Linked DNA regions of Oryctolagus cuniculus. The protein of the gene in region 1 purifies or fractionates together with the protein of each later gene. This does not show direct contact. Links are inferred from orthologs where the notes say so. Each region holds a gene or a part of one and is shown in the gene's direction. Other genes may lie near its edges.

Region 1 (3,645 bases):
CAGTAGCCCTGGCTGTGGCCTGGTCGTGGGCTGGAGGCTGTTGAGCTCACAGTTAAGAGAGGCTCTTCTTCCGGGCACCCACAGGTCCTCATCAGCATGGTGTACCTGCCTGAGGCCATGCCCGCCTCCTTCCAAGCCATCTACACCCCCGTGGAGTCAGCCGGCACCGAAGCCCAGATCAAGCACCTGGCTCGGCTCATGGCCACACAGATGACGGCCGCAGGACTGGGGCCTGGTGAGTGGCACTTGACTTGACACTCCACTCGCTGCGAGAGCACCCCCTGCTGGTGGTGCGCGTGAAAGTCACGTGAAGGCCAGTGCGTGAGTGATGGTTTTCAGGCCCTGTGTTTAGGTCTGAGTTAAACCAGACGGCCTGCTCCACCTGCTCACCGTGGCGTTGGTCAGGTCACCCAGCGTCTCAGCCTCAGTGTCTTCCCCGCGCTGACAGCGCGACTGAGTCAGCGGAGCGCACAGCACCTCAGAGTTTCTAGAGTGAACCCCCCGGCCAAGGGAGGGGCCCCTCCTCGCTGCTTCCCAGACAGCACCCGGGGCACCCCCACAGATAACCACCCCCAGACAGCACTCGGGGCACCCCCACAGATAACCACCCCCAGACAGCACCCGGGGCACCCCCACAGATAACCGCCCCCAGACAGCACCCGGGGCACCCCCACAGATAACCGCCCCCAGACAGCACCCGGGGCACCCCCACAGATAACCGCCCCCAGACAGCACCCGGGGCACCCCCACAGATAACCGCCCCCAGACAGCACCCGGGGCACCCCCACAGAGAACCGCCCCCAGACAGCACCCGGGGCACCCCCACAGATAACCGCCCCCAGACAGCACCCGGGGCACCCCCACAGAGAACCGCCCCCAGACAGCACCCGGGGCACCCCCACAGAGAACCGCCCCCAGACAGCACCCGGGGCAACCCCACAGAGAAACGCCGTGCTCACTTCTGCCCCGAGCTCAGCTCTGCCTGTTCTTGAGCTTCGTAGAAGAGCAGTCTTCAGAAAGTTCATGGAAACAGCTATAAATGGATTTCAGACTTTTTTGTACCAAAATAAGTTTACCGTTTAACTTCATTTTCCATGAACTGTGGAAGTACCTTGTAAGTGGGATCACAGGAAATCAGGCTTCTTTACGCGTTGTTGGTTATTTTTAGTTGACATAATAATGACACGTCTGTAAGGTACAGTGTGATGATCTGCATGTGCTCAGCATGGAGTGATCAAGTCAGGGTGACCTGTGTTTCCAGCTCCTTGAGCATTGGGTGGGGAGTTTCCAAGCCCTCCCCTCCCCTCCCCTCCCCACCTCTCTCCTCTCCTCTCCTCTCCTCTGTCTTTAAAGGTTTATTTATTTATTTGAAAGAATTGCAGAGAGGGAGAGACAGATCTTCCACCCATTGGTTCACTCCTCAAATGGCTACAATGGCAGGGACTAGGCGAGGCCAAAACCAGGAGCTTGGACCTCCATCTGGGTCTCCCACGTGGGTGCAGGGGCCCAAGCACTTGGGCCATCTTCCGCTGCCTTCCCAGGGGCACCAGCAGGAAGCTGGATCGGAAGTGGAACAGCTGGGACTTGAACTGGTGCCCATATGGGATGCTAAGATGCAGGTGGCAGCTTAACACGCGCACCACAGTATGAGTCCCCAAAATCCCTTCTACTCGTGCTTTATAAAATGTGCAGTAACTTACAGACTAGGCTTGGACTAGAGCTGGGCACACAGGAGGGCCTTGGATGGGGTGGGCAGGCCTGGCGCGCGAGCACCGTGTGCCGCCTCCCTCAGGCGTGGAGCAGACCAAGCAGTGCAAGGAGGAGCCCAAGGAGGAGAAGGTGGTGAAGCCAGAGAGCGTCCTGATCAAGCGGCGCCTGTCTGCTCAGGGCCAAGCCATCTCGGTGGTGGGGTCCCTGAGCGCCATGTCCCCCCTGGAGGAGGAGGTGCCCCAGGCCAAGAGGAGGCCGGAGCCCATCATCCCTGTGACGCAGCCTCGGTGAGTCCTTGCAGCTGGGCCCGGCCCATAGTGTGCAAGTGCGTGTGCACGGTGGGCGATGTTCAGACAGGACAAGGCCTCAGCCAGGTCAGCCAGGCTCTCCAGTTCCAGTCGATGCCTTAGCCATCGAGCCTGTGGTTTCCCCTCTTGTGTGTCTGAAATTGGGAGGATAATAGTGTCTTCCTCCCGGGGGCCAGACAGCCAAAGTGGGTAGCTCTTGGGGTTCACAGTGATGGGGACCGGAGAGCACTCTGCGTGCTTGCTGGCCTGTGTGAGTGTGAGTGTAGAGTGTGGTGAGTGTGAGTGTGACTGTGGTGAGTGTGAGTGGTGAGTGTGGTGAGTGTGACTGATGAGTGTGAGTGCTAAGTGTGGTGAGAGTGAGTGTGAGTGGTGAGTGTGGTGAGTGTGACTGGTGAGTGTGAGCGCTGAGTGTGGTGAGTGTGAGCGCTGAGTGTGGTGAGTGGTGAGTGAGTGTGGTGAGTGTGAGTGTGAGCGCTGAGTGTGCCGAGAGCTGTCCCCGCTCGCTCACAGCACCCTCACGGGTGCATCACCACGTCCTGGTCCTCACTTCCTAACGAGCGCTCTGGCTGGCAGGCCTCAGGCTCGTTGGGTTCAGAGAGACAGAGTGGGGCCGAGAGGACAGGCGACTGTAGGCCGGCCATGTCCTCGAAGTGGGCAGTGGCCAGCCTGAAGCCAGCCCTGGGTGCAGAGACCGCTGCGACGCTGTCCCTGTCCCTGCTCTCCCATAGGCTGGCGGGCGCCGGCGGGCGTAAGAAAATCTTCCGTCTAAGCGACGTGCTGAAGCCCCTGACCGACGCCCAGGTTGAGGCCATGAAGCTGAGTGCTGTGAAGCGGATCCTGCGGGCCGAGAAGGCCGTGGCCTGCAGTGGGGCGGCCCAGGTGTGTGCCTGGTCCTCAGCCCCTCCCCAAGGCTTCCCTCTGGTCCGGCCAAGTGCTGTAGCGCCCAGCCCGCCATGCACAGCTGATTCCGCCTCCGTGAAGCCCACAGTGGCTGCAACTCCGCCCTGCCGTGCCGGGAGCCACAGGCACCCTCGTGTGCACCGGCGGGGAGCGCGCACTGGGAGGTCCTCGCGAGTGTTTGGGTTCAGACGTGCCTGCTCCTGAGGCCTGATCCTGCCGCTTGCTGACAGGGGGACCTCAGACAATGTCCGCCTTGCTCTTGGAAGTTAATGTTTGTTTGTTTGTTTTAAGGTTGATTGATTGATTGATTTGAAAGAGTTACAAAGAAAGAAAGATCTGTCCACTGGTTCACTCCCCAGGTGGCCACCATGGCCAGAGCTGGGCTAGTCAGGAGCCAGGAGTTTCTTTTTCTTTCTTTCTTTCTTTTTTTTTTTTTTATTTTGTTTATTTATTTATTTATTTATTTTATTTTTTGACAGGCAGAGTGGACAGTGAGAGAGAGAGACAGAGAGAAAGGTCTTCCTTTGCCGTTGGTTCACCCTCCAATGGCCGCCGCGGCTGGCGCACTGCGCTGATCCGAAGCCAGGTGCCAGGTGCTTCTCCTGGTCTCCCATGGGGTGCAGGGCCCAAGCACTTGGGCCATCCTCCACTGCACTCCCTGGCCACAGCAGAGAGCTGCCCTGGAAGAGGGGCAACCGGGACAGAATCCGGTGCCCCGACCGGGACT
Region 2 (3,745 bases), on another chromosome or scaffold:
GAGAAGCTCCTGGCTCCTCGCTTTGGATTGGCCCAGCTCCAGCCATTGCAGTCATTTGGGGAAAGGATCAGCAGATGGAAGATCTCTCTCTCTCTCTCTCTCTCTCTGTGACTCTGCCTTTCAAATAAATAAATAAATATTTTAAAAAGTAAAGCTATGCATGGATTTCAAAAAATTTGGGGCACCAAAATGAACTTATCTTTTAATTTCATTTTCCCAAGAACTGTTTGAAGTACCCTGGTATATTTGGCCATATGTGTACTTAGCAAAAGTTCACCATACTGGGAACAACAACTCATACCAAAACTCTTTGAAACCGGCATTACAGAGCTGTAAATCTTGTTTGGGACTATTCTATTTCACAAGGTGTTCTTTTGGTCACATAGTGATTCCATAAGGAAATTGAGTCATGGGAGTGAAAACTTTCTATCTTCCAAAATTTTATATATTTGCCAGAATTACTTCTTGAAATGACATGTTCAATGTGTAATGCAGCACTTATTCACCTTTTAAAATACTTCTCATTTTGCAAGCAAGCACACTTCTAATACATGTGCAGCAAACACGTCAAATTCTGTGGCTATTTTACTGCCTCTGTTTTTCGGGAGACAGCAAGTTCTCTCTGGATCGTGCTCTTCGCTCCTCGTTTTTTCCTCCTCTAGCTCTGTACTTTTCGGGTACCTTCCTCTGGGTTTCCTCCAACCCGGGCAGGGTCTGCCTTTCTGGGAGTTAGCATCTCGCCTTTGCAGCACACCGTATCCCAGGAACGCAGGCACCCAGAGTGTGTTATCACCGCTCCATGTTTTCTGTTGTTTGCAATACTCTGCCTGTCAATATCCCCTGCGACACCGCCCCTCCAACCTAGCACATGGACCCTAGGGTTACGTCTGTTCTTTCCATAAAATCGCCACTCCTTTTAGAGTAGACTTAGAGCGCCGCTCGTTCTCCCATTCTCTTGACTGGCGCGCCTTTCTTTCCCCCACCTCACTCCGTACACCCAGTTTTAGCAAAATATAATGGCCCGAAAGAGGGCGGCACTAAAATGAAGTTATTCGTTACCACGGTAACTGCCGCCGCCATCTTCGCGGTGGTCGACCAGTATTTCTGTCAGCCTTAAAGAAAATAAACCAAAAAGAATTTCGCAGACTAAAAACTTTTAGTTTAACCTCCCCTACACGAATCCTACTCCGGAAAGAGTTATTCTCAGGCTGCAGCCACCCCACAGCTTTAGTTCTCGCTTGGACGTGCCGAGCGACAGAAGCTGACGGAATGACGCTAGGGGGCGGAGCCCTGCGTCCGCCACGCCCAGGCGCTCTCTGCTCACGCGCCGTAGGGAAGCGTGGTCGGTGCTGGGCACGCGCGCTGTACGGAAGTGTGCTTAGGTGCACCGGAAGCCGCAGGAAGAGAGCGATGGCGGGTTTGACTGTTAGAGACCCTGCGGTGGATCGTTCTCTACGTTCTGTATTTGGTGAGAGGAATTTGATTGAGCCAAACGTCGGGGAGGGACGCTCCCCCGGCACCCCCACCCTTCTTGAATCGCCACTGGAGCTGTGGCGCTCTACCTATTCTGTGGGGCGGCCAACTGGTGGACTCGTGGGCAGAGATGCGCCCCTTTTCCTGAGGTTTCACAGGCTTTGCGCGGTATCATTGAGGAAGTTAGACTTACGTTCAGCTTTTATGCGTTTCTCCTTTTCGGAGCTTCAATTATTGTCTGAAAGAGAGGGCTCATGGCTACAGCCCGTTGCTGTCCCATAGTACTTCTCACCCCCGTCCCAGAATATAGATTATATGCTGAGTGTACAGATACCTGTGTCCACTTCCCCGTCCTCTAAAGAATTTTCATTCTTTGCTTCTTCCCTGTAACGTTTTAGTGCAACCAGCCACCTGTGGTCCTGAAATGGATTCTAAGTAAATGAATGAATAACAATTAAAATCGCCTCAGAGGAATTTTAAAGAGGACCAAAACTATTCTGAGTAATTTTCTTCGACTGGAATAAGTTGTTTAAAAAAAAAAAAAACACGTGTAATAATTTTTAAAGCACGTTTTGAAAGAGGCAATGACAAAACAGTTTTTAAACATCCTCTGTTAGAATCGTGGTCATTCTTCCTTAAGGGCGTTTATGTGTGAAAATACTTACATATGAAACTGTTTTTTAAATTGTATATAAATATTTTAGTAGCTATTGACGAGACTTGCAGAACTTCAGGTAAATACCAAAGCCTAAATAGTAACTTTCACCAACAGTTAAGGAAAAATCTAACACTGGGCAGATCTGTGAGCTTACATTCATCAGTATCTATACCTTTTGCATTTAGTCTCACTGGTTGATTCACTTGTTAAGAGGCCTGAAAAAGTGCAGTGGAATTGGGAGTTGGAGAACACTATTTTGAGACAGATGTTAAATAGTCAGTGACATAAGTAGACACTGTGCTTTTTCACTAAAGGTCTGCATACTCTGAATTTTAGTATTACCTGTTTTCTTCCCTAGTGGGAAACATTCCTTATGAAGCTACTGAAGAACAATTAAAGGACATCTTTTCTGAGGTTGGACCTGTTGTTAGTTTTAGGTGAGACTTCCTTTTACTTCTTATGAGAATTTCTTAAAAATCCCAGCAAATCTGACTTTTAGTAATAATAGTAGGGTTTTTTGTTTGTTTTTCAAACTGGTAACTTTCCACATGCATTTTATTTCTTAGCAACTTTATCAATATATAACTAACTATATAATTCACATTCATTCTTACCTAAAAGGTGCTTTTTTTTTTTCTTAAAAAATGTTTTAAGAGGGGGCCAACATTGTGGTGCAGTGGGTTAAGCCACTGCTTGCAACACTGGTATCCCATTTTGGAGTGCTGGTTTGAGTCCTGGCTGCTCTGCTTCCTGCTAATGTACCTGGGAATGCAGTAGAAGATGACCCCTGCCACCTGTGTGGGAGACCAGGATGGAGTTTCTGGCTTTTTCCTGGCCCAGATCTGACTATTAAGGCCATTTGGGGAGTGAACCAGTGGATAGAAAATCTCTTTCTTCCTGTCTGTCACTCTGCCTTTCAAATAAATAAATAAATAAAATTTTTAAAAATACTGTAATGAGAGTTACAAGGTTATTTAAAGTGAGCTGAATCAGAGCATGTCAATATTAGCAGAAATACTGCATGTTTCTGATACCTGCTTCTGCTCTCTAGATTGGTATATGATAGGGAAACAGGAAAGCCAAAGGGTTATGGCTTCTGTGAATACCAAGACCAAGAGACAGCACTTAGTGCCATGCGGAACCTGAATGGACGTGAATTCAGTGGGAGAGCACTTCGAGTGGACAATGCAGCCAGTGAAAAGAACAAAGAAGAGTTAAAGAGTGAGTATAAACCCAAATTGTATACAATAAGAGTTATGAATAATATAACAATACAAATATTCTGTTAATCATATGTTTTAGAATATTTTGAAATGGTTAGACATACAGTTTCTTAATCTACCAAGGTGCCTCAGTTAGGGAAGTATGTCTTTTGAGAAAAAAAGGTAAAATTGACTTTAGAAACCCTTTAGTTGCCAAGGAGTTTATTTTGAGTTAAAGAGGAGTTCAGGTTCACCAAGCTACTAGTAGTGCTAAGCGTGTCATAGTAATAGATCCAGGAATTCTGTTTTGAAATAAGCATCTTTTTCTATTTAAACCTTTTGTTTCTGAGATGACTTGTGAAGAGAAGTCAATATACCTAGTTCTCTAACTTTTGTCCATCTATGTGTTCGT
Region 3 (3,745 bases), on another chromosome or scaffold:
TCCGCCTGCGGCGCCAGCATCCCATATGGGCGCCGGTTCCCGTCCTGGCTGCCCCTCTTCCAGCCCAGCTCTCTGCTGTGGCCCGGGAGGGCAGTGGAGGATGGCCCAAGTGCTTGGGCCTCTGCACCCGTGTGGGAGACCAGGAGAAGCACCTGGCTCCTAATCAGCACAGCTCCGGCTGTAGTGGCCATTTGGGGGGTGAACCAGCAGATGGAAGACCTCTTTCTGTCTCTCCCTTGCACTGTCTTAACTCTACCTCTCAAATAAATACATAAAATCTTAAAAAAAAAAAAAAAAAAAAAAAAAACCACCTGGCATCGTTGTCTCTTGTTTTTTAAATCACTTCAAACTCTTGATGCACACATATATATACAAATATACATATACATACAAATATATATATATATATATATATATACACCCTGTGTTTTGCCCAGAAAGTTTCAATTTACCAATGCAAAGTGCTGAGTGCATGGAGGAACTGAGCTCCTGGGGCACGGAAGGACACGCACCTTAGCAACCGAGCACGAACGTGACACACCTAAGGCTTTAAGAAGCAGAAGGGAGCGAGGCAGGCGAGCAGACGGAGCGCTGAGCCTCGGCCGCCCGGGACACACAGGCCAAGCGGCCGTCACGCACTTCCGCGGGCCCCCGCATGCGGTCCCGCCGGTGTCCCCGCGTCCAGCAGCGGGGCGGCCACCGGGCCCCCGCTAAAGACATTTCCCAGTCACGACAGCCGCGGACGAAGCCTGTCGTCCCCTCAAAAGCCCTATCCCCTCTCCTTTTCCGTCACCTTGGCTCGGAGGCGCCGGGAAGGCCCAGGCCACCCGACCGCGAGCACGGACCACCGCCGAGGCTTTCCTAGAACCCGCCGCACCCGCTCCACCCGGCTCGGCGGAACCGCGCCCCCCGGGACCCCCGCACCCGCACCCGCACCCACCTGCGGCGCCGGCGCCCAGCACGACCCACCGCCAAGGGCAGCGACCCGCACAGCCAGCGGCGCCGGCGGAAGCTGCGACCTCGGGACGTGCCATTCGCCGCGCGCGGACGGAGGAGAGGGGTGGCGGCCGGCGACACATACCTCGCCTTCCTTTCTGGGCGTGATTCTTTGTTACTTTTCTAAAGCTTTCGGACACCAACCATAATTTCTGACGGAACTTCGGCCCGAGGTGACGTGATCTGTCGGCGTCGGCGCCACCGCCTTCCCACGGCTTCGACTCCCCCCCTCCCCGGCCCGGGTGGTATCACCCTGGATCTTCCCCCTCGGCTCCGCGCCTCCGGTTTCAAAATGGCGGCCGCCACTGCGGGGCTCTTGCTGGCCGGGCGTCGGGGTTGCAGCTGAGCGAACGTCTGCTTTTGTCCCTCTTGAGCCTGGATCCGACTAGGGGTTGGGCAGGGCCCTAGTGGACGCCGTTGGGGGAGGCCTGACGAGGCAAGTGAGGGCGGGAGAAAGGCATGAGTCTTTGGATGGGGGAGGAGGCGTCCTAAGCGCGCCGGGGCAACAGGGCTGCAGCTAGGACCCGGCTCCTCCGAGGACGAGCTCCCGCGGCTTCCGATGCGGCTGTCCGGTGGTTCCCGGCACAAGGACGGAGGAGCAGCAGCGCCTTGCCTACGGCTGTAGCGCTCCCGGGTCTTCCGCGCCGGCCTGTCGGGTCCGCCGCCGTCCCGCTCGGCTTCCCTCGGTCCTTGGGGCCTCTCGGCGCCGGAGGAGTTCGCCTGACGCCAGCTTTGGCTCCTGGGCCTCGGGGCTCGGGCGCGCGCCGTTCGCAGCCCCTCGGCTCAGGGCCTTCCCGCGGCGTTGGGCCGAAGGGCCACGAGGCCGCCGAGCCTAGGGCGCAGAGCAGGTGTGCTCGCAGACGGCGGTGGCGCGCGGCTCGCCCCGGGCGCCTGCACCTTCGCTGCCGCCTTTCCCGGGACCTCTTTCTCTCTGTTGACAAGGCCCTCAGAAAACGAGGCGTCCGAGGGGCTGTGGCCCCCGCACGTCTGGGCTCCTGTGACCAGGCGACCCTGAGCCAGCCCTCACTTGTGTTCGAGTCCTGTCCCCTGGGATGAAGCCGCCGCTCGCCCTGCACTGACCAGGAAGAGGCGTTGCACTCCATGGCTTACTGTCTCGTTTCTTTCTTTTCTTCTCTCTCTCTCTCTCTCTTTTTTTTTTTTTTTTTTTTTTAAGATTTATTATTTGAGAGAGAGGGAAAGACAGAGGTCTTCCATCCTCTGGTTCACCACCAAATGGCTTTAACAACCGGAGCTGGACCGATCTGAGGCCAGGAGCTTCTTCCGGGTCTCCCACGTGGGTGCAGAGGCCCAAGGACTTGGGCATCTTCCACTGCTTTCCCAGGCCATAGCAGAGAGCTGGATTGGAAGTGGAGCAGCCAGGACACAAACTGGTGCCCTGATGGGCTGCCCCCACTGCAGGAGGAGACTTTACCGTCTGTGCTGCAGCTTCGGCCCCATCTCCGTTTTCTCTTGGATCCTGCACACATCCATAGCCGCCACCAACCTGCCTGGTCCCTACTGAGAGCCCACATAACAGTGATAGAGACCCAGAGTCGCTGTCAGGTCCCCGCCCTGGGGGAGCTTCCAAGTGTGAGGGTTCATCCCTCTCTCAGGACACATTTGTATTTGCTTTGAGCACTGTGCCTGGCATTGGAAATACAAAGGTGATGCCTTTATGCATTCAACAATAGTCCCTTTGTCTCAAAGTAACAATAACCAAGCTCCATGAATTACTCATTGTTTGAACTTGGCCACAAAAGAGTAAAAGAAATTTGCTAAGCTCAGAAGGTCATTTCTGGATTTAGCTCAGGGATGCAGACTTGAGAATATTTGGCGTATTTAGGGAGTGTGTGTGTGCTGTGCCAGGTGGCTGGCAAAGCAAGAGGCAGGTTGAGATCAGCTTGTGCAGGGCCTTGATTTCCAACCAAGGAGTTTAGATTTTTTTCAGCAGTTAGCAGGAAGCCAGTGAGTGCCTCGCACCAGGAGTGGAAGTGAGGTTATTTGCTTTTTAGGATGGTCTCTGGCAGCTATGGAGGTTCAGCCTGGAACAGGAAAACGGGCGAGTAAGTTACAGTCTTCCAGGTAAGGCAATGAGGGCCTCTGTTGAGGTAGGACATTAAAGGATGTCGGACTAGGGTCAAGTGGGATTCAGCTGGTGACCGCCAGCTTCCGCAAGGAGGGACTCGGGGTTTCAGTGTGGGAGACTGACTGGTTGGTGATGCCAGCAAAACACAGCAAAACATGCCCAGGAAACTAGAGTGGGCCCACCCTGCCCCCGAGAAGAGGCAGGAGCCCAGTGGTTACTGCTCAAGCACCCATTGTGGAGGGTAGGCCTGCGCTACTACAGTAGCTGCCTGTAGCTGTTGGGCTTGAGATGTAGTTAGTTCTTGTTGATTTGTTTGAAAGAGTTACAGAGCTGTCTTCCACCTGCTGGTTCACTTCCTGGTTCACTTCCTGGATGACCGTACCAGCCAGGGTTGAACTGGGCTAGAGCCAGGGGTTTCTGAGAGTCTACATGGGTGCAGGGGCCCAAGCTCTTGGGTTGTTAGCAGGGAGCTAGATTGGAAGTGGAGCAGCTGTAAATCAAACCGGAGTCCATATAGGAGGCCAGTGTCACAGGTGGTGGCTTTACCCGCTGTGCCACAATGGCAACCCCAAGATGGTTCCAATGGAGATGTGCCATAAATGTAAAATACACACTAGATTTTGAAGACTTGATATAAAAAACAGAAGAGCAAAATAGCACTAA

The links. Proteins that work in one complex are often made in the same cells at the same time.
Region 2: the proteins of SYMPK (region 1) and CSTF2 purify together in Homo sapiens (affinity purification with mass spectrometry; 4 studies listed by BioGRID and IntAct, with this or other methods). This does not show direct contact. The link is inferred for Oryctolagus cuniculus from reciprocal best matches to the Homo sapiens genes SYMPK and CSTF2.
Region 3: the proteins of SYMPK (region 1) and CPSF2 purify together in Homo sapiens (co-immunoprecipitation; 8 studies listed by BioGRID and IntAct, with this or other methods). This does not show direct contact. The link is inferred for Oryctolagus cuniculus from reciprocal best matches to the Homo sapiens genes SYMPK and CPSF2.

The regions. Positions count from the first base shown.
Region 1 is NC_091449.1:11,193,025-11,196,669, forward strand, and holds part of SYMPK (symplekin), read left to right. Parts: intron 1-84; coding exon 85-235; intron 236-1,792; coding exon 1,793-1,997; intron 1,998-2,746; coding exon 2,747-2,897; intron 2,898-3,645. UniProt on the Homo sapiens protein: Scaffold protein that functions as a component of a multimolecular complex involved in histone mRNA 3'-end processing. Specific component of the tight junction (TJ) plaque, but might not be an exclusively junctional component. May have a house-keeping rule.
Region 2 is NC_091453.1:91,889,225-91,892,969, reverse strand, and holds the start of CSTF2 (cleavage stimulation factor subunit 2), read left to right. Parts: upstream 1-1,296; 5' UTR 1,297-1,410; coding exon 1,411-1,468; intron 1,469-2,489; coding exon 2,490-2,568; intron 2,569-3,182; coding exon 3,183-3,352; intron 3,353-3,745. UniProt on the Homo sapiens protein: One of the multiple factors required for polyadenylation and 3'-end cleavage of mammalian pre-mRNAs. This subunit is directly involved in the binding to pre-mRNAs.
Region 3 is NC_091451.1:37,371,189-37,374,933, forward strand, and holds the start of CPSF2 (cleavage and polyadenylation specificity factor subunit 2), read left to right. Parts: upstream 1-1,292; 5' UTR 1,293-1,432; intron 1,433-3,056; exon of another isoform or gene 3,057-3,078; intron 3,079-3,745. UniProt on the Homo sapiens protein: Component of the cleavage and polyadenylation specificity factor (CPSF) complex that play a key role in pre-mRNA 3'-end formation, recognizing the AAUAAA signal sequence and interacting with poly(A) polymerase and other factors to bring about cleavage and poly(A) addition.